4 linked regions of the Oreochromis niloticus genome follow. The protein of the gene in region 1 purifies or fractionates together with the protein of each later gene. This does not show direct contact. Links are inferred from orthologs where the notes say so. Each region holds a gene or a part of one and is shown on either strand. Other genes may lie near its edges.

Region 1 (7,888 bases):
CTGCAGCAAAACAACAGCAGTGTTCACAAAAACGATCAACATCATTTAAAAACATTACACAGAACGAATGGACATCATATTTAGCAAAGTGCATTACCAGAGCCTCCTCAAACGGTTTGCACTTCTCCATCTGCTGCAAAGCTTTCTTGTACTGATGCATAACCGTCTCAGGGACGCCATGTTCGGACCACTCCTCATATTCTGCGTAGGTGCCTTCCATGTCTACAAAGCAGCAGAGCACAATTATCACAGATTTTGCAGGAAATTTACTCTTTCAAGATTGGATATAAAAATACAAACACCGCAAATAATTACACAGTCAATAGTCATTTTTCAGTTTTGCAAAATGTTCTACTTTATCTGTTGCTTTACTTAAATTTAGAGATTCAAATGTTTCAGAAACGGCACGGCTCTCCACTCAGAGAAAAACAACACGATACCAAACCATCCGGTTACCTCTCTAGTAAACTAATGAGGAGTGCACTCGTCACCCTGACATGTTAATTTTATCCTAAAAGCCAGCGTCATAACTTTCTTTAAACCGGGTAATTTCTGACATATGGCTCTCGCAACAGGAATCTGTCTCATTTTACAGCAACCAGTCTGGCCAGAAGACACGTCATGCTTACCCATTAAAGGGATGGCCAACTGTCGGCGAAACAGTGTATGGATTCGCTCAAGCTGGGTCTTCAGCATCTCCTGTTCCTCATGGCTGGGAATCCTGCCAGGGGGAGGCTGAGAGGAAAGCCAGCAGAGAACATGGTGTTAAAGCACAAGCCATTCAGTCAAACATGGAAAGAATTCAAGTCAGCAATCTGAACTGAAGAAGTGTTATATTTGACAGCAATAACATGGAAATAAAATTATTTACACTAGCTTTTAATTTCTAAGACAATATGGCATATGTACACAATCAATACAAAAACACAAACATAGCTTATGTGTGAATGGTGAACTCTGTCCTAGTGACGGGAACACAAACCTGCACTGTGGACAGGATGGCGTTCTCAAACTCTCTGTACGCCTCCCACACCATCTGTCCCTTGGTCATGTGAAGCCCCACTGCTGTCACCGCCCTCTCAAAGATGGATCTCACCCTGTCGATTCCGCCCGGTGAGCCCATACCGCCGATCGAGTACTGCGCGTACTCAAGCCAGATATCGGGACCTGTGTGTGTAAAGTTAAATGTTAGGATTGTGTAATTACTAATCATCAGGCCGGAAGGTGGTGGCGATGGTGTTGCGCACTCACAGATATAGTCTTTAACAGCTCTCTCAAACAGCTCATATACTTTCTCTCGGTTTGGCTCCTCCTCAGTCAGACGGATTTCATCCTTGAGCCAATCCAGCCAGATCTCTGGGGGATTAAACAAAACAAGGTTTCAGTTGTAAATAATGCAGAGCCGCTTATTCCTCCAACCCCAGAAGCATGTCAGGCGTGCACCAACCTTCAGTGAGAGGGAAAAGCTCACTCATCTTCTGCCTCGCCTTTCGCAGGCGGAAAAGTTCCCCCTCTTGCTTGAGCAGCTTGATAAGATCCACATGGCAGTTGTAGTCGAAAGCGTTGATGGACAGCTGAGGAGTTACACAAAGATGAAGAAGGAATGAGATATGTGACAATGCACTTCAGGGGTTTTGTAGGCACAAAATCACAATCGGTTGGCATGTAAAAGCTACTTTAAGCTGTTCTCGCATTCACAAGAGGTCGCCACAGCAGATAGCTCCGCATATTTGATTCGGCCGAATTTTTACCGTTCATGACGCAACCTCTCCCAGGATCCCACCAGGGATCTTTTGTTTCTTAGGTGAACACATCAACTGCCACAATTGGTTTGCATGTAGGAAAAGTGTGTTACCTTATTTAATATATCTCTATGAATTTAAAAATATTTTTCATGAAGCTTGTTGGCAGGCCAAGATCTCTTTGGTGAAAATACAAATCTGTTATATGCAGAAAAATCCCTGCACTTAAACAAAGTGTATCCTAAACAATCCATGCTTTATTTTATGTGTTTACCTCCAATTTATTACCACCACAAAAGAAAATAAAGTTCACTTATAATTCATGTAATGAACTATGAGAGTTCTCTTTTAAAGTGTAATAACATTGTTGTTGTTCTTCTTTATTATTAACAGCTGCAAGACTACAAACTATAAAACTCAACCCACTCCTTCATGAGAGCATATGTTCATATTTTGTTGAGCTGTTGACTGAAAATTCAGGTAGTTTCGTGGGTTGCAGTTTGATCTGTTGGACTTTTGTGCTACATCAGTGAGACTGAATATTTAAAACATATCTCTGTATATAGCACAGTACAGTCAGCAGTACCACACACTGATGCTCGCAGAGGGACTCGTGTACAGTCATGCAGTTGGATCTATATTTGAGTGTATTTGTAGGTTGCTACACCTACTACACAGTCACCAGCGAAGCTGCAGCAGCACTCTCCGTACTTAAGACTACAGCAGATTCAATGTTATGTGAAGGGGTCAAACCCACTGATCACGTGACGCTCATTAAAGTTAGCACAGCGTGTACTGTTTTTGTTTGTACTGTACTTTGTTTCTAACCCACACTAAACGCTGGGATCCCACCGTGGACCGAGACTGCAAGAAAAAAGGCGCGTGTGAATACGAGGCACGCGAACTACTAGCATCGCACATTAGCAGGGCAGCTAATCACGACAGCTATGTAAATGACGTGGTTGTATATTTAGATGTTTTTGGTTAACGAGAGCTACCAACGCCACGTATATTTTCTGCCTTTACTCGACCATGTCATGACGGAGGAGTTCGCCGCTTTGACGCTGCCTACCCGATTGTGGCTGGCCGTGTTTACCACCCATTCATTCTCATTAGCCCCTCGGCTAACGCTGGCTAATCACCTGCTCCTCAAGTCGCTGGATCTCGGCTTCATTTTCTTTCTCGTCCTCTGACGAATCGTCCTCCTCGTCTTCGTCTGAATTTTCCACTCCCATGCCTTCCTCCTCGTCTTCGTCCGATTCCATCTCCCTCTCCTCCATCCCTGCATCTTCCTCCTCCATATCTTGCAACTGCGTTTGCTCTGCGTTGCTTGACGCTGCCATGTTGGAAAGGCTATCTGCCTGGTAACAGCCTGCTAGCAGCCAGCGGGACGATGAGAGGCGGAGCCCGTCAACACGGGTCACCGTCTAACCTCGCCCGTGGCCGCTAGTGGGCGCTCCCTAGTTGTGTAAAACCTTCTTCTCTTATTTGTTTGTCAACAAAAGCCGTTCGTGCTTCCTCGTGCTCACTCGTTGATTTCCGTTCGCAGTTGGTGCTGGAAACATGGCGAACGTCTGCCTACGAAGCTCCTCGTCCTTGCTGCTGTTTTTCAGCAGGAGGATTTTCAAACCGGAGCTGAGCGCTGTCTGCTTGTACCACAAAAAGGTAACCGAGTGAAAATGCGTCCAAACCCGCTGACGTCACCTTACTTAGAAAGAGTTAGCTGACATTTATCGTGTTGTTGTCAACTGGTAACAGTGCCCTGTCTGTCAGCTGCTACACCAAGAGAACAGAGATATATATTTTTTCTGATAAGTGTGGCCTCTCCCTAAGGTTGTGGACCACTATGAAAACCCGAGAAACGTGGGCTCCCTGGACAAAAACTCCAAGAATGTGGGGACTGGATTGGTGGGTGCACCGGCATGCGGTGATGTTATGAAACTTCAGGTAAACTGGAAGTCAGTAACAGAAACCAATCCATTATCATGTATTTGAAATTCCCATGTTTGACTCTGTTCTCTTTGCAGATCCAAGTGGATGAAAATGGAAAGATCATCGATGCAAAGTTCAAAACATTTGGCTGCGGATCGGCCATTGCTTCCAGTTCTCTAGCAACAGAGTGGGTGAAGGGGAAGTCGGTATGTTAAAGTACCAAACAAAGTACAGGCAACCAAAAAATGGACCCTAAAAGTGCTGTTTTCTCCACTCTATTGTAAAGGGTCTCATGAATCTGCTTTTGCCCTACAGGTTGACGATGCTCTGAAGATCAAGAACACAGACATTGCCAAAGAACTCTGCCTTCCTCCAGTCAAGCTTCACTGCTCAAGTAAGTTCACAGTCGTTATTAACATCTCTTAAGACAGGGGTGTCATAATATATATCATATATCAAATCTAAGGCCCGGGGGGCAGAATCGGGCCAGCAAAAACTTCAGTCCGGCTCACACTGGAAAATGTGAATTGTATTTTCATTTCAAGTTTTGTAGCTTTTCCTAATAAAAGGATCTCCACTGTGGCCATTCATACTACACCAAAATATTTTAGGTCAGTTAACAAAAAAGACAACAATTTCTTACCACTTAAGCACAAAGTGTCATGCTGGCCGATTTCTTAAATTCAATATATCAGCATTTCCTAATTGTGTAGAAAACCTGAGAAATATGATTTAAATTGCACTTTTCTTCTTACATTAAGCTATCTCAGGGATTAAATATGTAGTTGAACAGCTTTACAACAAAAAGATCCCTGGTCCAACCTACTTAAGATCAAAATGTGCTGTTAAGTGTCCAAAATAGCTTCAGGGCCATGCACACCATTCTTTTTTTTTTCCCAAGACAAATTCTTTCTCTTGCTCTGTTTGAAAGCACCTACATTTATGCTTTCAGATCAGGTGTTTCCTGTAATAAATCATATAATTTCAGCCATGGGGATGATAAAATCCTGTACGTTCTAGTGATACTGGATTTTATGAAAATTGTAGCTGTACCTCTAGGTATTGTTTTTGTGATATTTAACAGTGTTATGAGATTACACGTACAATAAATATATCTCTAAACAGTGTTGGCTCTCTCTGGGTACTCTGGTTTCCTTCCACAGTCCAAACACACGTTACATCCACTCATCATTGGCATGAATCTCATGGTAATTTGGGGCTTTTAATGATTTCTTTGAACTGTTGTTTTTCCGGGGTGGAAAATCTTTAATGACTTGATGAGTTCTTAGCAGGCTTGAGCCTCAGTGGTCCCTGAGTTGTTTCTGAACATCTTAACCAATTTCCTCTCATCTGAGGGTGACAGTTTGGGTTTTCTTCCAGACTATGACAAAGTCACAGTTACCAGATCCCGTTTGTGTCCTTTTAACCCTGTGTGTGAATCAGAGAAAGTCCAAAATAAATTCAAAAGAACAGTTCAAAGAAATCTTTAAAAGTCCCATATTACCATGACATTCCTCCCCACGACAAGTGTAAACTTCTGACCACATCTATAGGTTAACTGATGATGGTGTGAATAGCTCTGTTTCTGTGTCTTAGCCATGCAACAGATTGGTGACCTCTTCATGGTGTACCCCATCTTGCACTCTATGGAAGATTGGATGGATGAATGAATGAATGAGTGACTGTATTAATCACCCCTACATAATGTTTATATGAAATGAAATCAAATCGCCCAGTTATCATGAACTGAATGCTTTTTGTTTTCCATATTATGCTCATAGTGTCTCTAAAATCTTCTTTTTTTTTCAGTGCTTGCAGAAGATGCCATAAAAGCAGCACTGTCAGACTACCGGCTAAAGCAACAGGACAAGAAGGAGGAACGTGTTAAAGCCAGCAATTAATGCTTTTATTCACTGTCTATAATAATAGATTTATCCTATTGTTGGATCATGCCTCTCCTAGTGCCAGAGCAGTGCAGACGGGTCGCTGTAATCACATCACATTGGATCTTGCATCCGTTGGGGAATTCTCCACAGGTGTGGGATCAGTCTCTTGAGTTTAAGCCAAGGGTCCCATATTGTTCAAGTGCCAGATGTTAATAGCGTTTATGGATTCTTTTGCTTTTATCACACAATTAGAATTGTTTAATTAACAATGACTTCATGGTGAAGCTTAACACTTTAATACACACAGCATTAAAGACATCTTTAATGAAGCAGGGGTGTGGGTTTGTATATTTTGGCTATGAGGCTCTATCTGGCTCACTTGTGAGACAATTTAGGTCCCAGATGAAAGACTTGGTATGAGAATGTCAACAGTTAAAGTTTACATACAAAAAAAAGTTCAGAAAATTTGTATGAGGTGCTTTGCTTACTGTGAATAAACAGATTAAAAGACTTTTCAGTGTGTGTGTGTAAATGTCATCCTGCTGATCCTGAATCAGCAGGAGCTACCCTCTGCTGACGCACGAGCACCTTTTTCAGCACGAGCAGCACTGCCAGCATTACGAGAGCCACTAACACACACAGCACAACCAGCAGAGAGATGATCGCTGCAGTGGCCTGCTGAGTGAACGGCTGTGGGACGAGAGTGGGCACGAGTGCATCTCTGTGTGTGGAAAGCAAGAACTGTGTCCCCTCAGCAGGGGTTACATTACTCTGAGGGTATCGAGCTGTGATGTTGTCTCTGCACCTCTGTTCCTCCTCAGGGAGAGAAGTAGTAGTCTTTAAATGGAAGGGGCTGACTGACTGACTGTTATTTAGGGATAAACACTCCTCATAGGTAAGAGTCTCTAAAGAGTAGTGCAAGACACGTGTCTTGGGAGAGTCTTGATTACTGTTTAGAGCTTCGGAAAGCAGTCCATTAGTGGTTAGTTTTGATATTTTCTCTGCTGGCTGCGCTGTTAGCGTCCTCTCCTGTGCAGAGCTGAGGTCACGTTCATGTGTCCTGTCATTTGGCTTCAGGACACGAGGACAAATGGCCACGACAGAGAGATTCAGAAGCAGACGGTGGGCAAGATGATCAGGCTCTGTGCACACAATGTCTGTGGCCATCTTAAGCCTACCGCTCAGCAGCCAGCGGTACAGATATAGAATGTCACACTCGCACACCCACAGGTTGTTGGTGAGGTCCACAGATCTGAGACGTGGCAGGCTGTCGAAGGCGCTCTCTGGGACTGACCGCAGGCAGTTGCTGTTGATCTTCAGGACCTGCAGGTTGACCAGAGCAGACAGTGAGGGCAGGTCCAAGGCAGAGATGCAGTTTTCTGAGAGGTCTAAATGGGTCAGTGATGGTGGAAGATTCAGGGGGAGACTTGTAAGCCTGTTCCCCTTCAGTGTCAGGACCTGCAGCTTGTGGAGACCCTGAAGTGCCCCGGGCTGGATGGCACGAATACGGTTGTCCTCTAAGTCCAGGCGAGTGAGGTTTCCCAGCTGCCTCAGGACACCTGAGGTGATGTAAGTAATGCGGTTTTCTTGCAGCTGCAGGGACTCCAGGCTGGGAGGCAGGCCACGAGGGAAGCGGGCTAGCAGATTGTGACTGAGGCTAAGCTCCTGGAGGCCGGAGAAGGGCCAGAGCTGGTGGTCCACATTACAGAGCTGGTTTCTGGCCACAGATAGAGCTGAGGTACTGAGAGGAACCGAGCGAGGGAGTGATCTCAGGCCTAGTGACTCACACAGAACCAGAAATCCTGGGCGAGGGCAGCAGCACCCAGTAGGACAGGGAGACACTGCAAGGCAGGCTAGAGGACAGATGCAGAGAGCCAGCAGGACACCACATCTGCACCAAAGCATGACTCACTGCAAGAATAATGCAGGACAGAAGAGCAGTTAGATGCATTTAGAGGATATGGTTCCTCTAAAAGTTCTATAAAGGAAGGGGTATAATGTTATAATATGGCTTTATTAAAGGTTAATAAGCAGCTGAAAGATCCCTGGTTTGATCCAGGAAGGACAGCCAAATCCCACTGGGGTTGCATCAGGAAGTGCATCTGATATAGAAACTCTGCCAAAACAAACACGTGGAGCCATCTGCTGTGGTAATCCCTTGTGAATAAGGAAACAGCCAAAAGCAGCTTTATTATAGGTTAATGAACCATTTATTAACACCAGTACTCCACCAGCACACTCTGGTACATGTAATGACCTTATGGAAAAGAGCTGCAGAGTGTAAAAACCATTCATGGAATTGCCAAAACTATTTATAAAGCCACTTCT
Region 2 (7,955 bases), on another chromosome or scaffold:
TTCTGTACCTGACTTGGAGCATCACCAGTTTGATGTCTTTCTTTGACATAGAGGAACTCCGGAGAAAGCTTCAAAAAGTGTAATATGGTTAATTTCTCTAATCACCCTGTGGGATAGGTGGCTGCACAAACATACAAACATATGAAAACCTCTTCAAGCTGTGATTCTTTCTAGGTCAAAATAATTTTCTAATATGGTCATATTTTAACATTTTTGTGTATCTTATGATCGCCCTCTGTGATTAAAGTCATTCAAAGAGTTTGAAAAACCTCTTCAGAACCTGAAAATGTTTGATCAGTGTGCATCTGTAAAGACTATTATATGGAACACTGTGCACACTGGAGTTTAAATTTAATTTACAGCCATAAACTACACTTGTAAGTGTTAAAATATGACTATGGGAGAAAGTTTTGTGACACAGATGAGCCTGTTGCGTGGAAGTTGATCCATTTTTAATACTTTTGAATCTTTGCGATGTATGGGACATCATATGTTGCTGTTTTCTCACAAGCATCTGATGGGTGGCTGTAGGATGACTTTGGAAATCAAGAAGAGGAAATGAGTGAAGACAGGGCTAGGGATTAAATGGTGGAAGTTGAAGAAGAAAGAATGATGCATAGAGTTCAGGCTGCAGTTGAGACGGGCTCTGGGTGGTAGGGAAGGGTTACAAATGACTGGAAAAGTAGAGTAATGAAGAAGTAGTGAGGGAAACTTCCAGGAAGGTGTTGGACGTATCCTTTGGATAGAAGAAAGCGGACTAGGAGACATGGTGGTGGAATGAGGAAGTACAGGAAAGTATTCAAATGAAGAGGTTAGCAAAGAAAAAAATGTTGTGAAGTCAGGGAGATGAAGAAAGTCGACAGGAGTATAAGAAGGGAGGATAAGAAAAGAGAGAGGTGGCAAAGGCTTATAGTGAGTGTGTATGAGTCTGGACATGAAGGAAGGGCAAAAGGACTTGTATAAATTGGCTAGGCAGAGATGGATAGATATACTAACAGATGAAAAGAGTGTGTTGAGAAGATGGAAGGAGCTGATTGTTGTAAAACATGAGAGAGAGGAGGGCAGATGGATCAAAGCTGGTAAATCAAGAAGTGCAGAGCATTAGTGAGAGCAGCTATGAAGCACAAAGAAATCCATCTGGTCCCGATGACATAGCTGTGAAGGTATGAAGATGGAGGGCAGGGGACTTTCTCACCAGATTGTTTCACATCATCCTGCAAAGTGAGAGAATGACCGAGGAAGGGAGAAAAGGTTAGCCAGCACCAATTTTCAAGAACAAGGGTGACGTGCAGAGCTCTGACTACAGGGGGATAAAGATGATGTGGCATACCATGAAGATAAGAAAGCTGTTGAAGCTAGTTAAGAAAAGAGGCTGAGACAGAGCTCTACAGATGGGATGTTTGTTTTAAGATGTTGATGGAGAAGTATGGAGAAGGTCAGGGCGAGCTGCACTGTGCCTTTGCGGATCAGAGAATATGATAGGCTGATGATAGGATGCCAAGACAGGAACTGTGGCACTGATGGGTTCATGGTGGGGGTGGGATTACATCAGAGATCAGCTCTGAGCCCCTTCTTCTTTGCAGTGTTTATGGAGAGGTTGACAGATGAGGTCAGGCGGTCGTTGTATACGCGATGTTTGCAGATGAGACTGCGATCTTTAGTGAGAGCTGGGAGCAGGTGGAAGAGATGCTGGAGAGATGGAGTATACTCTGGAGAGAAGATGAATCAAAGTTAAGAGAAGCAAGACAATCCATTGTCATGCTGGTGGCATAAATCGCAGCTATGAGACTGCAATTCAAGTTTTTCTGTTGCCTGATTAATTTTGATTGCTGGTTTGGACCATCAAAACTACCCAGGGCGTGATTTTTCTTTCTTTTTTTTCTTCTTTGTTCTGGTTGACAGGTTTTCTAGCAACCAACCACATGATATTTCTAACCCCAATTACATGGGAGTGTCATTCAGAGGCGGGAATGTGATAGATAAAGGCTGGAGTTACAGCATGCCACCGCGAAATGTTACCTCTGGGGGACAAGCAGGAAAAGAGCCAAAGAAGGGTTACGATGTGAGCACACGCAGCCCCACGGGAAAGCCTGCTTCTGTGTAAGTGTGAGCCTCTTTCTGGTTTGAAGAGACTTCAGTTTCATTTCTAAAAATACCTCCAAACCTTTATCTGATCTGATTCTATAGAAAGGGAAACCAATGTCATTAACCGATGATTTCTCTGACAGGGGTGAGAACGGAAAGACATCAGAGATGTTTGACAACCCGTTGTATGGTTCAGTGACCAAATCACATGGTCGGTCTAAAGACCAAGACCAACAACAGAAGGACCATCTCATACCCCCAGATGTGCTATTTGGATCCTCCAAAACAGCAGACGGAGATACCGATCGCCCTCCAGTGCCCACCCCACGCAACCGCTCCTTCACCTGCTCTGAGAATAAACCTCAGCCTCCAACACCAGTCAGCCTGCATCCCCCATCACAAAAGAAACCAGTGGTGCCCTCACGCTCAGAAGGCGGGATGGGCCAAAGCCGGCCTCCTTTGCCTGCTAAGTCCCGACCGGGTGTGCCGGAGCCCCAGACCCCCAAACCAAGAGACTACAGAGACACCTCAGAGCTCACCAGCAAACAGAGACCACCAGGAAGACCTGGTGAGTCTTGCAAAGACAGCAAGGAACATCCTCAGGTTTCCAGACAGCTATAATACACTAAATGACATCTCTTTGTCTTTTTTTGTGCATCCAGACGTTTCCAAGATCGGTCGCCCTGTGAAGTGAGACTGAGAGGTACACCTTCCTGGCTGCATTCCTGGAAATATTTTTTAAAACCCCTTGCTACTGGTGTCACTCATTTTAGAGGACAATCACATATCTGTGCTGTCATTATAGAGCAGTCAGTTGGCTTAGCTTTGCACCTGTCCAAAGGTCTAAAAAATTCATCTGCCTGTCATCCTCAAAAACTCACTTTTTAAGTTAGACTGAGCCGGGCTAGCAGTTCCTCTTTATTTCCAGTCTTTATGCTAAGCTAAGCTAACTGGCTTGTAGTTAGCTTAGTTATCTACTTATCTAAGTGCTAGTGAGACATTAAATGGGCGTACCAGTGTCTAACTCAGCCTTCAAATGTATGTAAACTCATTTTTTAGTTTCTCGGACTTCTGCAAAGCTCACATTGGAACGTAAGTTTGAACCTGGAACCTGCTTCTAAAATAACTGTTACATTTCATTTGGAGTTTTTACACTATACAGTAGCTGATGAATGTTTACCGCACAGTATTATCTTGCACAGACATGTTTGCCTTTAATATGTACAAATGATGCTCCAATGAATTCCAATATTAAAGCTTGAATTACATGTTTTGTGTGTGTGTGTGCATGTCTTTTTTATGTCAAGTCACAAATGACTGCTTTTAAAACTTGGAGTGTTGGCCGCTGCAATCTGCTGCGAAGACCAGACCGGTCACACTGCAGTGATTTGCCTCCATCTGCTGGTCCGTAAAGGAACTGCAGGCAGTCTGAGAAGGGGCCTTTCTAGCTTGGTGTTACTGGAAATACATCTACATTTTCTCTTTAATCAGCTGTGACTAAAAAGGTGAGGTGGCACAGTTCCTGATGTGCACTTTCACTACAAACTGCTTCTACTGCTACGCCTCTTCATTGTTGTAAGGCTGCAGCCTGTAACCTCCACCCATCTCGCTTTTGTGCCTCTGCTTTTGCTCCTGTTCCCATGAGAGACCCGGCTATTGTAGCTCAGCCAGCACACTCATCTCTCGTTTGCCTTTCTTCCTCTTTCCATCAAAGGGTCATGCTTACTACATGTTCTACACACCTTAAAGCTCCTCATCTTTATTTCATGACACATGTTTACACACCCCAGTTCTTCTGTGCAGCTCCATGTTTGAGTATTTGTTTGGCTGGAAGATGCTGCATATTTGGGGAAGACAGTCAAAAGACACGAAACTTTCATCAGGTCACCAATAGTTATAGACATGGTTGAAGACGTGTTGGTGTACATTGGCTGTGTTTTCTTGGTGTTGATGTTGAGGCTAACAGCCGAGCCAGTTCTGTTGGTTTAGTTGGTAACTCTTCTGGAACTGGCTGAGGAGAGAAGAGCAAAGTCTTTGATGAAGTCCAAGTGTGTGAATGTACTCCACTGCATATATTTTACACATATGTTGACTTTAAAATATGACTGATATAACACCAGCGGTTGCTGTGTTTTCCACCCTGAGTATTTGAGAATTAGAAGGTTTTCCTTACCTTTCATGTTATATGTTGGAAGTTTATAATAAATGCATCCAACGTTTCAAATGACTTCTTCTAGGAGAGGGTGTGGGTCCTTAATTTAAAAAACCCAAAACAAAACATGAACTTTCTAATAAAAATGACTTTTAAATTATATTTATTTAGTTTATGTAGCAGAAAAAAAATGCACAATGCAAAGACAGCTGCCACCGTAGTCCCTGTAATTACATTTCTGTAAATTTGTTTTTTCAAAATGTATTTTGTATTTTTCTTTGAACTTTGTCATTGTCACTTTGTAATTGAATTTTTGTTTTCAATTACAGACAGTTACTGCATATTTATTTAGTCTTTGGTTGCACCAGAAAAAAAGAGTTTGTATTTTCCATAAGCAATTTTTTTTAATGTCAACTGACAGTGTTAAGCTTTTTTTATTATTGTCTCTTTAAATTATATTTTATTTTATTTTATTGAAATATATTTTCATATGAAGTTTTTATTTATTTATTTATTTTTTTGAAATCACAATAAAATTAAGTCAATTAGATAAACACCTGTGCAAGCAACGTTTCCCATACATGAACGTTGAGCTTAGCTCTGTCGCCTCTGTGTGGCGAACTTTAGTAATTACACCCTGGTGTGTCTCAGAAATATTAAGGGGTTGTTACGTCATCGACAGGCGACGCGCGGCTAGGAGAGGGCAGCAGTAAGAATGGTAAGGAATCACGATGAAATTATGACTTTTCTGTAGAGTTTATAGCAGATACGTACGGCCGGAGAGAGCCTCTGACCCGGGCACACCTCGGTGTGTCTCTGTGACCTTAATTCTGTCAGCTTTAAAAGAAACCGGCCGCAACGCTAACCGTGCAGCTAACGTTAGCATGTGTTTCTGCTCCGCAGCTTTTTTACTCGTTTTTCAAGTCGCTGGTGGGGAAGGACGTCGTGGTGGAGCTCAAAAATGACCTGAGGTTAGTATTCGTGTTCAATTCGCTCACATAACCTGCCGTTTTCCGGCCTGTGTTGTTTGGTCGGCGATCGCTGTTTGGAGCTTTGTTGATAGACGCAGCAGCGCTCCCACAGTCACAATTTGAATATTAATTTTTATTAGTTTTCATTTGAATTTCACTTCATTTCATTGCAGCAGTTTTTAATACTTCTCAGCTTTAGTTCCGTTTTATTGGATTCTGCAAGAATAATCCAACACAAACAGATGACTCTCAATCATACACATTATCAGAAAGTCAAGCCAACAACATTTCCTGTGTGTTTTACTCTGTGGTTGTTCAGTGAAAGGCCTTAGACAGCGATCAGTGGGCTCTGGGTCTTCATTATGAGCTCAGCACTGAAATATTTATTACGTATTACTGTAGCTGTCACTGTTTAAATGGAACTAATCTGCATGAAACAGTTTTATTTCTTGTAACTGGTCACACTGATGACTGATGAAATGATTGTCGTGGTTGACTTCTTGCTGGAGATGTGTTTTGTTTTGTTTTTCTCAATAAAATCTGAAGTGACTTCAATTGAAACTGGACTAAATGTAGCTTAAAGCAAGATTATGAATCCAGGTTGCAGCCTGTCAGGTCACAGCCGCATAATTACATTTGTTTTAAGATTAATTCAACTTTTATATGTCATAGACGGAGTAGATCAAACAAACTACAATAAGATTTTCTTTAAGTCAAACTGTTCCCGTCTCGGGGTTAAACTCTGGAGCAGGGTCTTGATGCTTGTCAGTAGTGACGGTTTTAAAATGTAACAACAGGTTTGTGCTAATGCCTGTCGTTTCCAGAACAGCTTCTAAAATATGTGCAAGTAACTGCAGATGTGGACAAAACATAGATGTATTAAAAATATTATATTTTGGTGATAATTCTTATTGTTTCACCACCCAGACCTGTGGAAATAAATGTTTAAATATCCATAAATTAATCAATAAGTGGCATGGAAATCCTGAGGTCAGAAAGAAAACCTCAGAAGTTGCGTTTGCTTTACCTGGGCACACCTGACCGTAAATTCCACCCAAATACTGATGAGCTGTTCCCAAGCCTCATAATCTAAAGATTAATTGAGCAATTTTGGTTTGTATTTGTGAACAGAGTCATGTTCATGAATGTGTGTTTCTCTCCTCAGCATCTGTGGAACGCTTCATTCTGTTGACCAGGTTGGAAATAATTCATTTGTTTTAAAACGGAAGCTGTTCAGCTTTTACATTTCTGCATGATTGCTCACTAAAATGCCGTTTTCACATCGCTTTCAGTACCTGAACATTAAGCTCACAGACATCAGCGTCACAGACCCGGAGAAATATCCACACATGGTAAGTTTTGCTTCTGGAGACTTTCCACATTTAATACAGGGGAAAAAAAGACTAAAGAAACAGATGAGGCTGTCGCTGCTAAACAGGTGTTTACAGTTTTACAATGTACAGAAAAAAGAGCTGTTGCAGTGTACTTACAAGGTTTAAGGTTCTGCTACAGAGGTCTGTACAACCAGTAAAAGAAACTAAATTCTCTGCTGCTGTATGTGAGAATGTAGAAATGTCGCCCTTCTACCTGATGAACCTTTTGATTAGATAAATATTCCAGCGGTGAGAGTGCACGCAGGACTTCTGTTTTCCACACAGAATGATGCATGATAAATATTTAGGGGCTCAATTATCCCCCAAAAAAGACACACAGACAACAGCTCCTCCCGAGTTTATATACAGATATGTTTACATAAATATCTTTTACATTGATTATGTTTTTCATGTATTATAACACATAAAGCTTTCAAGATTTCAGTCTTTGTTTTCATCTTGTATGTGAGCTCCATTTGCTGCTGCTCAGTTTTTATTGAGGTCAAGAGGAAAAAGAAAAGTTGGATATTTTTATAATACAACATCAAGAATATAACTATAAACTTTAGCTCCTTATTTAAAAGTTGCATAAAATCAGAAACGAGTTCAGTCATTAGGAAAGTCCTTGGATGTGCACTCCTTAAAGCTCACCAGCAGCTCCAGCACAGAGTGACGGCTGTCTGTCTTCACACTGACTGTTTTCATTTGCTGCAGCTGTCTGTGAAAAACTGCTTCATCCGTGGATCGGTGGTCCGTTACGTTCAGCTGCCGGCAGATGAAGTGGACACTCAGCTGCTGCAGGACGCTGCACGGAAAGAAGCCATGCAGCAGAAGCAGTGACGGGGCTGCGGGGCGGGGTGGGGGTGGGGGGGTAAGGAGAACAATGAATGGGTAGTTCTGGTTTTGGGTTAAGTTTGTGCAGCCTCTCTTTGTCTCTGAAAATGTGTCTTTGACATTGGGGATCAGTCATTAGCAGTTTTTGTTTTTTTTAACCTCAAAGACGGTTTGGACGTCGTCGTTTGATCCCTTTTTTTGGTTTTATATAGAAGTAAACTAATCAGAGAGTCCAGAGAGGAAACCTGCTGTGATGTTCATGTTGATGATAACAGGCACACTTTGCTTATCAAATTGTGGCTTTTTTTATGCCTCTTGGAAATAAACATTATTTTATTTATATTTTCATGACGTTTGTGATTTATTAATTATTTTAGGATGATCTTGGTGACATGTTGGAGGATTTGGGGTTTGCTGTTGAAGAACTGTTTTTCTTTTCCAGTATTTTTGAGTACTGGAGTGTTCACGTCGGATTTTCAGGGCTGACGATCACATTTAAGCTGTGCTTAAAAACGGCAGCCAAAAAGGTTTAGACCAACT
Region 3 (7,317 bases), on another chromosome or scaffold:
ATTAAATATGATCAGCAGCGACCTTGGATCCTGAATGTAATCTTTTCTTCCATCATATGTTATTTCCAAGTTGAAGAATAAACTAAACTAAACTTAAAGATAAGCTTTAAATCCAACACTGACGCCATCTGCTGACGAAGCTCAGATAACACAACTGAACGCACTGGAACAGACCTCACAGTGGGATTTTGTAATTGGCTGTAACTAAAAACGCATCTCTTCTTGACTTAACCATATCATAATAATAAGGGTGCTTACTATGAGTAAAGGGGTCTCGTGAAGACTTTTTTCTTTTGTTGTAATTATTTTAGATGACAGATGTGTGCGGAAAACTACAATATGCTGGTATTGTAGCTGGTACACGTAGTTCAAACTTCATACCACCACCATTCTATGTAACAACAGTCGCTACTAGCACTACTGACTACTGACATTCCCCTTTCTTAGGCTAACATATTTTATTTGTCAAAGTCTTAAGCAAACCTAAATATGGAACAGTCTTCAACTAGAGAATTCAGGAAAATGAAGTAAAAAGGAAGAAGAGCACTTAACTAACATGTTAACATAATACGGTACTTAGAGTTTGTGTATTATTTTAATGCTTTCATAGGCAGGTTATGATAATAATAATAATAATTATTATTATTATTATATATAGGGGTTCATTTTTAATGTTAAAGGAAACTTCTGTCACTTTCATTAAAAAAAAAGAAAAAAAATATAACTAATCAATGCCAGAGTATAGCAGTTCCTGGTGTCTCTGTTTTAAACAGCTTTTATCTGATTTTCCTTATTATTTATCTGTATAAAATTCCCAGTATACTTCCCAGTTCCTGCTTCAATATGCAACTGGGTGCAGTGTCTTTAAAGCAGCTCATGGGATCAAATTTCCACCTATTAGTTATTAAGGGGCAGGCTCATAACAAGGACCAGAGAAAACAAGCTAAAAATAATACTGACTTTCAGGACTATTTACTTCTTTTTAAAAACTCTAAAAATATGTTAGAATAAATATGTCTAAAAATACATTAATAAATAATGTAAGCTTAAATGGCAATGCCAATAACAATCAATGCAGAAAGAAGTAAAATACATATTCATTTATGAATAATTTGTTGCACACCTACTTGTATTTCAATACACACACACACAAACTCTCATACATATATAAACTTTGCACAAAAAGTAAGGACATTTTTGTTTGGTCAATTACTTCTTTGTTGTAACAATGTTTTTTGGCACTAAATCTTAAACTGTCAGAAATCCTGTTTATTTTCCTTTAAATGATGCCACATCTATAAGGAAAATGCATGTGTGGGTTGAGCAGGAGAGTAGAGTTTGTCTTCTTTTTCAATGCCAAACAGCTTATTCTGCTATTGATTCTAGTTTTGACACTCAGGTGCCATGGGCAAGTGATTAGAAGTACCCATAAGCAAGAACCCTGCAACAGTGATCAGATGTTGTCTTTTCCAAGCATGCTACATTTGACTGCTCTAGCTATGGTACCTTCAAGAAGGAGTTCTGCAAAACAAGCAATACTTGGAGTGAGCCCTAGCACCCTACAATCTCCAAGTTGAAGGCCAAGATCTGTATAACGGGGGATGACAGAGACCAAGTGGGCATCTGAAGACAACAACACCACACAAGACAGTTTCCTTGCCTGTCACCATAGCACTGACAGTCATTTACAGATTTGCAGTCAAGGTTTTCAGGACGATATGGCCGACAGTTTTCTACCCAGACAAACCAGAGCAGACAGCACACAGCCAGTCTCTATACTCATAGGGCTGCCTGGAGGCTTGCAGTGACTGCTCTTCCCCATCAGGCCTATTTGCACTGGCGTCAGCAACATGTCCACTGGAACCTGACAAAACATTATGTTCAGCTATGAACAAATTCTTCCTACATCGGCTGGATCATAGGTCAACTTGTGGAGAAGACTCGAAGAACGTTGTGCTGATTGCTGCACCAATAGGATACCAGCTTTTGGTGGAGGCAATGTGATCAGTTGGGTGTGGAGAGGATGGTGCCAAAGTGACCTACGCAACCACACTGGATGACTTGCAACAAATGCTGATTGAAGAATAATATGCCATCCCACAGCAGTATGTGATCAGCATGAGGTGGAGGTGCCAGGTCGGTGTGGTTGTGTATGGTTCTTCCACATGCTACTAAGGCTGCTGTTTGTTCAAAGAATAAATTGCCAGGATCTATTGATTCTTCAGATTTTAATCAACCAATCTAAGCTGTTTGGCATTGGAAACGATTTTAATGGGCACAACCCACAGACACAACTCTACTACTCAAACAAATGTGGTACCATTTAAGTGGAAATAAATAGGCCAAGAAGCATATACAGGATAATTCCCAAGTTTATATACACACTAAGTCATTATAAGTGTGCGTGTGAGAGAGATATCTAAGGTTTTCAAAAAGTTATTTCTCCAAATGCAGCTTGTTCCACGGGGTCAATAGATGAATAACAGTCATTTAACTAATTTATCGTACCATACTGATATGCATTTAGTTGCGGGGGGTATTCTTTTGAACAACATTGGGATATGTTCGATTCAAAGTCGACGTGCTTTCACTGTCCGCGTCAAACCTTAGTTCAACAAACTCAGCCGTATATAATGAAAAGGAGTATAAACGTTTTGCCAGTCTTATTGTATATAATGTATATCAGGCGTGTATGTTCTACAACAAGGTCGTTTAAAAGGGTTTAACCAGACTATGAACTTTATTGTTGCCACTGAGGAGACGCGGTAACGTTGCCGGTTAGCTTCAAAGTGTCTTTATAATGCTACTCACCTGCCCTCCAATGGTAATGTCGAAGAACACAACCGGGTTGTTGGGGTTTGAGGCTTGAATCGACATTGTCGTGATTTACCCGCTTTCTGAGACAACAAAAATGCAACTTTTGGCTGTTTACACAGCAATAATTTGAACCACGATCTGCGCTGTCGGAACTACGGCGTCTCGCGAGAGACGTGCTACGGATCCCTTCTGCGGACAAAAGACTTTCGTCACCAAAAGCGCGATTGTGCGGAAATAAATTATTACGGCGAGATTTCTGCTGATAGCAGCGTAAAAAATGAACAGTTAACAGAAAAAAAAGACTGAATTTGTCTTTACTTCTACTTTCTGTCAAAAAAATAATTGCATTTACAAGTATTGGTTATAACATAGTCCTTTCCATGTCAAATTCATTAAGCGTGTATCAACTGGTAAAGTAAGGTTGTGGTACTTAGTACAGGTTTTAATTAAAAAAGCATTATCTATAATCTCAAATCTATGCTTATAAATACAGCAGCAAAAATCTTTTACACGTGAAAATTCCCATTCAGACTAATTATACAATACAAAAATAGATCAATTTTTTCAATCACTTGAATTCCAGAGTGTCAGTTCTGCTCCGGTATCTGAAATTTGTGAAGAACATCACACAAAGCTGTCGTGGACCGCATCCATAAAGGAAAAAAAAAAAATTTAAAAAAAAATCGCTGTTCACAAAACTGAAAGTCTAACCCTCACCAAAAAACAAAGCCTAAAATGATAGATGCAGTAGGTTTCATGTGGATCTAGCAAGGGCTACGAGGAACTGTCAGCCAGGATATATATAGATGTAGGTGTGCACATTCTATAAGGCTGCATGACTACTAGATGTGTAGTTGAGACAATATTTTAAGACAGCATTAAACATGAAACTTTATATATTTAAGCAGGGCTCCCAGTCTGAAGAAGCTTTGGAAGTGGGGAAGTTTCCAAAATGAAAATGATCCCAGACAGACCAACAATTACCAAAGTTGTTTTAAAGAAGAAAAGGGAGAAAGTTATGACAAAGTATGCCCCTGATCTGAATCCAGCAAAATACATTTGAAGTATTTTGAAGTGTAAGGCAGAGGAACAAAAGTCATACAAGAAAGATCAGCTATACTAATTTTGACACCTCTGTGGGAAAAATCTTTCTGTTAAAGGTTTTATTTTCACAATAAAACAACATTTTTACAAATTAACAAACTGCAAAGACTGCGCCACAAAACAAATGACCAAATGCAAATTGACTGCAAAGATTTCTCAAAGTTGTACTAACTCAAGGTGAGAAGAAAATAGCAATACAGGTTGTCACAAACTGCTGTGAAAGCAGGAAGATAAGTACTAGCAATAGCAAAAAGCTCTAAAGAAAGAGTTTTATGTAAAGTAATAAGGTTTCTTCACATTCACGCCATATTCTGCGAGTGCAGGAGTCAGGTCCTCCATAGTCAATGTGTACTTCTTATCCTATACAGAGAAGGAGGAAAAAAATTATCAGGAGCAAAAATAACTGAAAGCAGATGAAAGGTTCCTCTTCTAGCAACACTCACACAGTGCTCTCTAAATATTGTACATCGTAGTTAAAGTGCCTGTTAAAATTAGACAAGCTTACCTTTGTCTTACTTCTTGAGCTTCCTGAGGCAGTGCCTTTCATTTTGCAGTACTGCAGCGCATCATTGGCAATGTCTGAGATAAACTTCTGAGATGCGAGGGAGATCAGACGAATTCTATGCATGGAAGAAAATAATTAATACCTTTTTCCCTTGATGTTTACAGCCCACCTGTATCCTTATTTTGAAAAACACCACACACATAAACCTCAGATTTTCTATGATCTTGTTCAGAGTGATCACAAAGCTGACATTAACGAGTCTTACAAGGTTAGAGATGTTGCATTTTGGTTAAAAGGTTAAAGCCAGTTTGTTTTAAGCAAATCTAAATCAGCCAACACTCCCTGTAACATCAGAAAGCACGGTGCAACCTAACTAATACAGCATTAAGATAAGAAATGCTGTATACCATTGGGAAATTCTTTAAATTATGACAATATAGTCATTTATTTGTGACTTCAACATGTTCCCATTGCCAGATTACATTAATTTCTGACTCATTCAGTGCCTTGAACTAAGGTTTTTATTGGTGAACTCATATTATATAAAGGCTTTTAAGTCAGCTGTTAAGTAAATTGGTGGCTATCAATCAAACCTCTGAACGTACCAACTATGAGCAGCCTTATGATTTGTGCTGTAATGTACTCCTCCATGTGTGCACACTGACAGATACAAAGCTGTTCCTAGTATACAATTTCTCAGTCTACCTAAAGGACACATGCACAGGTGGAGGTTTTTTACTGACATTACATTAGACATTACATTACACTGACATTAGAGCAGAATCGAGTGCATCTCACCCTCACATTTGCCTCTGATGACATTTTTTTTATCACTTAGATCCATGCATCCCTGCAGATGCCAAAAGATCTGAATACTACACTGCATGTACTCACATCCTTGGATCAGAAGCCTCAAAACCAGCCCGGTTGAGGTAGTAACCTGTGACTGCATCAGGAATCTGGTGGGAAAAAAACAAAAACAAAGAATAACTACTAATGTATATGTCACTAATATTATTAGTGCACATGTACCAATCAAGGACTGATTAAGAAACATTTCTGTCAAAAATGTGTGAAAGTATGATGTAGCGGGGCTAACTGACTTACCGTGGGAGTGTACTCTTCCAGCTGCATGAGGAAATCAGCCAGTGGCGTGGTGGAAACAGCAGGCTTCACATCTCCATTAGTGATGCCACCAGGAACATAGACTCCATTGGAAACAGATGTGTCTGCAGACGGTGTCACCACAGCTGATGAGGATGAAGCTATAAAAGACACATCAAGCAATGTCTGAGATAAACTTCTGAGATGCGAGGGAGATCAGACGAATTCTATGCATGGAAAAAAGAAAATAATTAATGCCATCTGTCTTGTCAGTCCAAAATGTGAACATTGGTATCATCAAAAGAGTGTAGCTGTGCATCCGCACCTAAAGGATAAGTTGTGGCTTTTGCTGCTTGGTTATTTGGCCAGTGGTGTTGAGGATTTTGGTAAAGTTGATGAAATTATAAACACACTTGAATAGGGTTAGATTTTGATATCCACCACAAAATACCATCTGGAAACAGTTTCATTTTTCAGCATGACAATGATGCCAAACACACTGCTAATGCATTTAAAAAAAAAAAAAAAAAAAAAAAACCTGGAAAGAAAAAATATACAATTAAGCACTATCAGTCATGGATCAGGATCCCAAAGACCAGACTTCAACTTTACTGAAACAGTCTTGGACCATCTTCACAGACAACAGAGCAAAAGGCAGCCAACATCCAAAGAAGCTTTAGATGTAATTCAAGAAGCCTGGAGAACTATTGCTAAAGAGTACTTAGAGAAGTAGTCTCCAATTTTTACATGAAAATTAAATCCATTTTAAGGATGGGGCCTAAGGGAACATCTTCCACCATCACTAATTCCCCAACTCTCTCTAAACAGTACTCATGGCCATTAATCAATGATCATGACAATTTGTATATTAGTAATCAGGAAACTGACCTAACAGTTAATCAGTTGCGGGACCCCACAGTCAGCTGAAACTGAAGAGGTCACTTGCATGAGTGACACAACATACCTCAACAGTCAGATAAATAGAATCAACTTTCTGTGACTACTTAAAGAACCTACAAGAAAGCTTGCCTGAGAGGATTCAAGGCCTTTTAAATAATAAAGGTGGTCATATCAAATATTCACTTTATTTTCAAGCTTGTTAGAATTGCACAAACTCTGTTTTTGCCTTATATACCAACATTTTTCAATGCACTGCACCCATTTCCAATTTTCCCTTGCAAAATATAAAGAAATCAGGGATGGCTTGAGACTTTTGCAAAGTACTGTACAAACAATCTAAAAAATTGCTACAATGGTTAAGTTAGTGCTACAGGCTTAACCTGAAACGTGGTACTTGGTAGGTTTTGTAATTAATATGTTTAAATCACTTTAAAGTGTTAGACGGCAATCTAACACTTTAAAGTGTTAGATTGCCGTCTAAAACCTACCTTAATGCATTACACTTTGATGCATTAAGGTAGGTTTCGCTGATGGTGTTTAGGTTAGTACGCGTTTCTCTCAGTCAGGCTTGGTATTGTTGTCAATAGTCAATGTACATCGTGGAAAGTTTCGACTTCCAGTGCGAGATGAAATCAGCAAATGCTCTCAGAATAATAACAAAGACAATAACAAAGTCACGTTACGTTACCATTACTCGTGACCGACGGGATGCTGCTCACGTTGGTTGTCGTATTATCGTTGGCAATGCAATTACTTGCCGTTGACGATGTGGTAGAAGGCACTCCTGTTGTTACAGACTGATTTACGTTGTCCATATTCATGCTGGCGTTAGCTAACGAGCTAACCGTGGTTAACTAGCACCGAAATATGCAAAACACCACAAATCC
Region 4 (6,781 bases), on another chromosome or scaffold:
GCATCAGAGACTGACGGACCGGTGAGGTCATGGCAGCAGCTTTCACATTGTTCCTACAGGCAGATTAAACTTGTTACCTCAGTTTATCTGGTCTTCAGGTGATTTTATCCAGCTGTTTTTAACCATTAAGCTTTCCTCGCCATGGCCCTCACGTAAAACTTCAGTATTTATCGATCTGTCACTTCATTGATATCAGTGTTACTCACACCTTTAGTGTTCGCGCCATCTTTCCACCATCTATTTCCTCCCCGCTCTCAGACGTGTGACTGATGTAAGGATTCATTTAGAATTGTCATGTTATTGCTGGCTCTGCAGATCTTTCATTTAAATAAAAATCGCTTCTTGAAGAACTGAATCTTGGTTGTGGCATATTTTATCTCAGAAGCTATTCGATTTTTCTCCTTTTCTTCTCAAATTTAAGAATCTAATTTCTTTCTCATAAAGTTTTCACTTTTTCCTCTGATCAATATCCTCTGACTAAAAAATATAATTTGTCAAACATTTTTGTTGAGTAAACAAACAACAAAAACGCTTTTCTTTTTCAGAACACAACAAATTAAACTTTATTTATTAACAGTCTCACATTGACAAAAAGACTTAGGAGCATAAAAAAGTTCCTCTAACATTTTCATCATCTCACTTCTTTATTTATAAAAAGTACAAACAGAAAACAAGAGCCAGGAGTCAGAGACAGGAAGCAGGCGAGCAAGTTATCAGGACGCTCCGGCTCATCCCGGATAATTAGCACACCTGCTCCTAAAACAGACTCCCATAAACTTTATTCACACAACAGTTACGCTATCATCAGGGGTCAAAGGTCAGTGAACGACAGAGTTGAGCGGCTCAGCTCTGATGTTTCCTAAATCCAGAGTGGAGTCCGTCTCCTCATCGATCTCCCCGATCACCGCTCTGTAACCAAAACAAGAAAAAGTGCAACCAAGAAAACAAACGAGGGGATTACAAACAAAAACAAACAAGAAGAACAAATAAAATATGAAAGGAAAACAATAAACAATGATAAACAAATTACATAACAGAACTGTTAACAATATTTAAACATTACATTACATTAAAATAAAACAATGTAACGAATCTATCTATCTATCTATCTATCTATCTATGTAGGTATGGATCCCCACACATCATTTTCCTCCTTGTTTAAGAATAAGAGTCTTTCTCTTGGTTTTCCTTCATAAAAATAATTTTAAACAAACAAACAAACAAACAAAAACAAAACTCTGATAGGGGAGTTTTTTCTTAACTCCTAATTATTAATTACCCCATTTTGCAATAACAAATTATATCTTAATAAAATAATAAAATTGGTAAACCATGTTAATCTGATTTTGTAGATTAAAATTCACATTAAGGCCTTACTAATTTGTTATCTTCAGTATTGATTCATCATCAACAAAGGTCAAACGTGACTTACACATTGTCGCCTCGGACAATGTAGAGTCCCAGCACCACCTGCTCGACCCCCTGACTGGAGCTGAACACTCGCTCATGACTCTCATCCAGGATCAGGTTGATGGTCTGATCAAAGCCCTTCAGAGTGCCCTGAAAAAACAAACTGACATGAATCAATGAGGACACGACTTACAATAACAATAACTTACAATCCAAAATAATTCTGACTTCAGTGAATCCTGATTATTGTGAGTGGTGAAGTTCTGCAGGGCCCACTGCTGTTTAAAATATAAATGAATAACGACTTTAATGCTTTCATTGCTTCCAGGTGCACTTGCTTGTGTATGACACGATTTTAAACACACCAGGCTCTGACCAGTCTTCGGTATGCATTTGTCTCCAATATAATTTAAGAATTGATTAAAAGTTTTTTTTAAAGTGATTTTGATCCCGGGTGATCGTCCAGTAAAGGTAAGGATGTGTTCAGACTCACCACAATCATCCTGCCGTCCGAGGTGACAATGGCCACGGTACCTGGATCAGCACGAGTTAAAGAAACAGCACCTTTATGGACCAAAACCTCTCTAATATTATTCAGAACGTACAAATAAGAACAATTATCATAACACCAAAATTGAAAGCTATGCCGCCCACCCATTCTGTCCACAAGAGGCGCTTGTAACCTTAGCTTCTGTCTGTTAATGAGCTCCAGCTTTAAAACTGTAAGTTGCATGCTTCCAAAATTTAAAAAAAAGAAGAGTTTACAGTTTTTCAAAGTGGTCCAGATGTGATGAGTCCTGATGTGTATGTGTGATCTTAACATGAATCAAACTGTGAAATCATTTACAGAACTTCTCTGATCAGCGGGTCCACATAATACAAACACGGCAATAAAATCCCGAGATTTCCCTCATTTTAAATGTGAAATCTACATTTAAGAAGTCTGAACATGTTTTAACTCAGCTCTGAACAACCCGTTTCTCACAGACATCTCTGAACTGCCGCTAATTAACAAAACAAGTAAGCATGCAGCTAAGCTAACTAGCATTTTTCCATTCATTCAGAGGGTTTGCACATTAGTGGCTAACGGCGGAAGGATACGGTTAATGTAGCTCTCCAACGCAGTGGACATCCTTTGTCCCGGGCTCGGTGTCTATTTATCCAGTGGGGTGGTCGATAAATACTTATAGTGGTAGTCCGGTGACAAAATAAAACCGTGCGCACTCGAACAGCAGCAGTAGCTAACGGCTAACAACACACTGGAGCGCAGACTAGAGCAATCAAACAGTGAGCAGGAACGACAGCAGAGCGCCGAGCGGAAGCGTCACATCCGGTTTGTGTTAGTTCTCAAAAAGAAAACACTAAAAACTGCAAAATTTAAAGAAATAAAAAAAGGTGGGAAAAAATGGGAAATGCAAAAGAAAAAAATGACAAATTTACTAGAAAACATGACAAGTTTATAAGAGAAAAGACACAAAATTATGATACAAATTGGTAAATTTATATGATAAACTATTCTTTTTGACTATTTCTTTAATGACTCTAAAACATCTGAGTTTATTTTCTCGCTTTTCACCCTATCCCTTAATTACTATCTTAAATGATTTTAAATATTTCTTTCCTTCCTATGCTCCATCATAGTTAAGAATCATTTCCTGTTTATTTCAATATATTTTCAGAGCCCTCAGATGCTTCTTTGAATAGTAAAAATATTTATGACTCTTCTGAAATATAAACAAATGTGATCCACAAACAAAATGGACACCGGACGTGATGTCATTTCCTATAACTAGAAAAAAACAAACAAGAAAATTGGTCATTGTTGTATAATTCCTTAAACAATTCTGAAAAACCTAAATTTTTTACAATGATGATTACCCTCAAAAATAATCATTGAAAAGTCCACGTGACAAAGAACATCCTGCACTGCTCTGTTAACTTACTACTAGAAAAGTTCTTTTTTTTTTTACTGTTATGTGGTTCTCACAGGAAAGGATGATTAAAAAATTATGATGATTTTTACCAATATAAGCCATTACCGTATTATTTAACTACCAAATACAATATTAAGCATTTAAAATTAGCTTAACATGGAATAAAACAGTTTTGAGATCTTTGGATAATTTAAGGAAATCTAGTTAATACTCTCTAAATGCATAACTATTACGTACACTTTAATGTAATTTTGAAAAATTAAAATAGTGGTAACCATGAGTGGTAAGATGTATTTGAGGAATTTTCAGCACAGGATAGACAGGCAGGTCATCAAATTTGCTTTTCTTTCTGTCAAAGACATAAAATGAAATATGTATTAAGAAAAAAAAAATCAAACTTGTGAGTGTTGATGTCAGACAACACACAGAGTCCAGTTCTCCCAGCAGGTCTTCATCTTTATTGTTGCTCAGTAATCGTCCATACAAAGGCGGGTGGAGGAGAGCAGTGGAGCCCGACAGGACAAACAACAGGAACGTCATGCTACCAAAGTATTAAATTTGTACAAAAATACTTTACAACATCCCTGTTCCTTTAAAGAAAAATACAGTTTGGTTGGTTGGTGAAGCTACATGGAAACTAATCTGACCCACTATTTCAAATGGCAGTGCAATGCACGTGTGTGTGTGTGTTAGTGTGTGTGTGTGTGTGGTTGTAGGTGGGTGGATGTCTTGCTGAGGTGAATCACTAGAGTGCAAATCCCTGCAATGTTACACACATACACACACACACACCCACACACACTCACACATACAGGCTCTAACAAATACACACCCACACACATGGTAATGTTAATACATGCGCACAAACACAGTGTGTATGGCTTTAGGTCTCACTCATCAAACCCTTGTGAAGCCACACCCCTCAGCCCTGTGGCTTGTTCCCATTGGTGGAGCAGTTCTCTTGGCTGAACCTTAAAACACTAACATCTACGTGTTAGCCCTGAATTCAAGGCATTAGCTCTGTATTAGCAATGTGAACCATTTCCTTAGACCTTGTTAGGTCTCTTTAATCAACCTGTAGCTACTACCTCGCCTAAATGCTAGCCGCAAGCTAAATTATAGTTCATGTTACTCATGTGCTAACATAAACCACAAATCAGTAGAGGCTGACATAAAACTGACATACTCTCTTGTTAGCAGACATTTTTAGCTCCTTGCTCTTATGTTTACCTACAAACCAACCAAGCCCTTGCTATGTTAAGTTGTAACCACACTAGTAAATAAGTGTTGAAAAATTGTACAGCTAACTTACCATCCATGTACTATGTGCAACTAGCCACATGTTATAGTTATGTTAGCTCTAATGCTCTGCATCAACTACCACATGCTAAACTGTAGTTCTATTATCTCCCATGTTAGCTTTTTGCTAACAAGAGAAAAACTTTGTTTTGCAAATGTAAGCCCTATGTTAAAGGTCTGTAAGGGCTGTGCTGGTACTAGCCGTGTGCTAACATAAAAACTTTAGCTTTGGATAGCTCTTTATTCATATGCTAATTAAATTATTTTTATGCTTATTAACTAATAAATATAGCAAGAAATGGGTGTTACATATAGAAAGCCTAATTTTCTTGTTCTATGTGTATAGTCATGTGTTATGGTTAGACTAGCCCTATGCTCAGTGTCTGCTAGATACATACTAATCATATGTTAGTAATGTCCTCAGACCAAGTTAGGCTGCTCACTTGTCAGTTGAATTTGATGTGTGGTATACTGCTTTTGCTAAAATTAGAAACCGTAACTTAGTACTAACCATAAGCTATATTATAGCTCTGTTATCAACATGTAAGTTATGCATTAACATAAGCCAAAAATCAGTAAGAGATTTTCAATGAAGCTAAAATACCCTTATGTTAGCATTGTCTGTATTACGTAAACCCTGTGTTCAGCATCTGCTGGTCATATGCTAAAATGTATTTCTATTATCTGTTATGTTAGCCTAATGCAAATAAGAAAAAAGTCTTTATTTAACACATTAGCCTGATTTTAACAATGGGCACGAGCTGTGCTTAACTGTGTCCTGACATACAATAGGATGTTACGATAAATGTTAGCCTTGGCTAGCTGTTTAAATATATGCCAACCAAGTTCTTTCTTTGTGATTAGCCAATAAACATAATAATAAATGGATATCAAACACAACCAGCCTATGGTCCTTGTGTTATGTCTGTTATGATTACGCTAGCCCTTTGTTCAGTGTCTGCTAGCCATATGATAGTTATGTCCTTAGATCAAGTTAGCCTACTCAGGTGTCAGTGGAATACCACCAATAGAGCTGTTTCAGCCTTTTTATAGTCAAGATGCTAAAAGACATTCTTTAGCTCTACAGCTAACCATACCTTAGTGAAGTGCAAGGTTTGTGCTAACAATACACAGACTGTGCTGGTACTGGGCTAGCTGTGTGCTAACATAAAAAAATGTTGGCTAAATTTTATCTTTGGTTAGCGGTTTTTACCCATGTGCTTACAAGTCTCTTGCTATGTTTATTAGCTAGTAAACATAGTTAGGATAGTAGTTCCCTTGTACTGTGTATATAATTATGGTTACACTAGCCCTGTGCTCTGCGTCTGCTAGCTTAATGCTAACTACATACTAGCCATTTGCTTGCAAAAAAAAAAAACCCATCTGAGCATTTAGAAAATTTTGGGTAGAACAGAACAGCCAATGACAACTATCCACATAGAAACAGCCAATCAGAACGCTCTAATCCAAAGCACAGCAGCAACTATTGGACTGTTTGGCTCAGGGATGCTGAGGGAGGGTTCTGATTGGCCACTATAAATAGTGAGTTAAGACTAAGGTGAGAGCAGGAAGATGTTGACATCACTCGAAAATAAACACTCACTCACTCTCTCTCAGACACACACACACACACACACACACACAAGTGTTTACCGTCACAGGTTTCCTGTTTTAACAGGATTTTTTTCTTTTGTAACATAGTTTTTGTGATTATGAGATGGTGTTTTCAGGGTTTGATGGTTTTTGATGTGAACAGCGATGGGGACTGAACTTTTTTTTTTTTAAATCTATTTTACATATTTTCTGGTTCAGTCACCATGGAAACAAACAAACAAACAGAATTGACAACAGTCAATCAAAAAAACACACCAATTGATTAGCATAAGAGATCACTGTCACTGGGGCTGGGGATGGGGAGGGGAAGTCGGGGTAGGGGCATGCGTGGCTTCTTCCTGGAAGCTGATTGGTTGTCTTTGTGTGTGAAAAAGAACCAATCACAGACAGGCAGGGAAGGAAATGTTTATGTTTCTGATTGGTTCCAGCCAATCAGCTGAATTTTTCAGAACTGCCGTCCATCATCCTGGTTGCCTATTGGTCAGGGGGTAGATTGGGTGGGACTTGAGGTGGGAGGGGCTTAA

Evidence for each region.
Region 2: the proteins of sart3 (region 1) and smx5 purify together in Homo sapiens (affinity purification with mass spectrometry; 3 studies listed by BioGRID and IntAct, counting the BioPlex papers as one, with this or other methods). This does not show direct contact. The link is inferred for Oreochromis niloticus from reciprocal best matches to the Homo sapiens genes SART3 and LSM2.
Region 3: the proteins of sart3 (region 1) and ppih purify together in Homo sapiens (affinity purification with mass spectrometry; 3 studies listed by BioGRID and IntAct, with this or other methods). This does not show direct contact. The link is inferred for Oreochromis niloticus from reciprocal best matches to the Homo sapiens genes SART3 and PPIH.
Region 4: the proteins of sart3 (region 1) and lsm8 purify together in Homo sapiens (affinity purification with mass spectrometry; 4 studies listed by BioGRID and IntAct, counting the BioPlex papers as one, with this or other methods). This does not show direct contact. The link is inferred for Oreochromis niloticus from reciprocal best matches to the Homo sapiens genes SART3 and LSM8.

What each region holds. Positions count from the first base shown.
Region 1 is NC_031977.2:18,325,402-18,333,289, reverse strand, and holds the start of sart3 (squamous cell carcinoma antigen recognized by T-cells 3), read right to left. Parts: upstream 3,112-7,888; 5' UTR 3,086-3,111; coding exon 2,885-3,085; intron 1,575-2,884; coding exon 1,448-1,574; intron 1,357-1,447; coding exon 1,252-1,356; intron 1,168-1,251; coding exon 983-1,167; intron 736-982; coding exon 630-735; intron 223-629; coding exon 98-222; intron 1-97. Other genes in the region: iscua (iron-sulfur cluster assembly enzyme ISCU), read left to right, coding at 3,306-3,407, 3,576-3,689, 3,770-3,880, 3,990-4,068, 5,484-5,575; tmem119a (leucine-rich repeat transmembrane protein FLRT3), read right to left, coding at 6,095-7,465. UniProt on the Homo sapiens protein: U6 snRNP-binding protein that functions as a recycling factor of the splicing machinery. Promotes the initial reassembly of U4 and U6 snRNPs following their ejection from the spliceosome during its maturation.
Region 2 is NC_031986.2:32,801,535-32,809,489, forward strand, and holds smx5 (smx5), read left to right. Parts: upstream 1-4,834; 5' UTR 4,835-4,952; coding exon 4,953-4,955; intron 4,956-5,140; coding exon 5,141-5,208; intron 5,209-6,373; coding exon 6,374-6,404; intron 6,405-6,500; coding exon 6,501-6,560; intron 6,561-7,295; coding exon 7,296-7,421; 3' UTR 7,422-7,757; downstream 7,758-7,955. Other genes in the region: inpp5d (phosphatidylinositol 3,4,5-trisphosphate 5-phosphatase 1), read left to right, coding at 1,903-2,100, 2,229-2,653, 2,748-2,779. UniProt on the Homo sapiens protein: Plays a role in pre-mRNA splicing as component of the U4/U6-U5 tri-snRNP complex that is involved in spliceosome assembly, and as component of the precatalytic spliceosome (spliceosome B complex).
Region 3 is NC_031984.2:24,225,278-24,232,594, forward strand, and holds the start of ppih (peptidyl-prolyl cis-trans isomerase H), read right to left. Parts: upstream 3,014-7,317; 5' UTR 2,878-3,013; coding exon 2,812-2,877; intron 95-2,811; exon of another isoform or gene 1-94. Other genes in the region: taf10 (transcription initiation factor TFIID subunit 10), read right to left, coding at 4,192-4,281, 4,427-4,541, 5,321-5,385, 5,534-5,691, 7,119-7,251. UniProt on the Homo sapiens protein: PPIase that catalyzes the cis-trans isomerization of proline imidic peptide bonds in oligopeptides and may therefore assist protein folding. Participates in pre-mRNA splicing.
Region 4 is NC_031981.2:20,046,319-20,053,099, reverse strand, and holds lsm8 (LSM8 homolog, U6 small nuclear RNA associated), read right to left. Parts: upstream 2,731-6,781; 5' UTR 2,543-2,730; coding exon 2,512-2,542; intron 1,945-2,511; coding exon 1,904-1,944; intron 1,561-1,903; coding exon 1,433-1,560; intron 910-1,432; coding exon 819-909; 3' UTR 538-818; downstream 1-537. UniProt on the Homo sapiens protein: Plays a role in pre-mRNA splicing as component of the U4/U6-U5 tri-snRNP complex that is involved in spliceosome assembly, and as component of the precatalytic spliceosome (spliceosome B complex).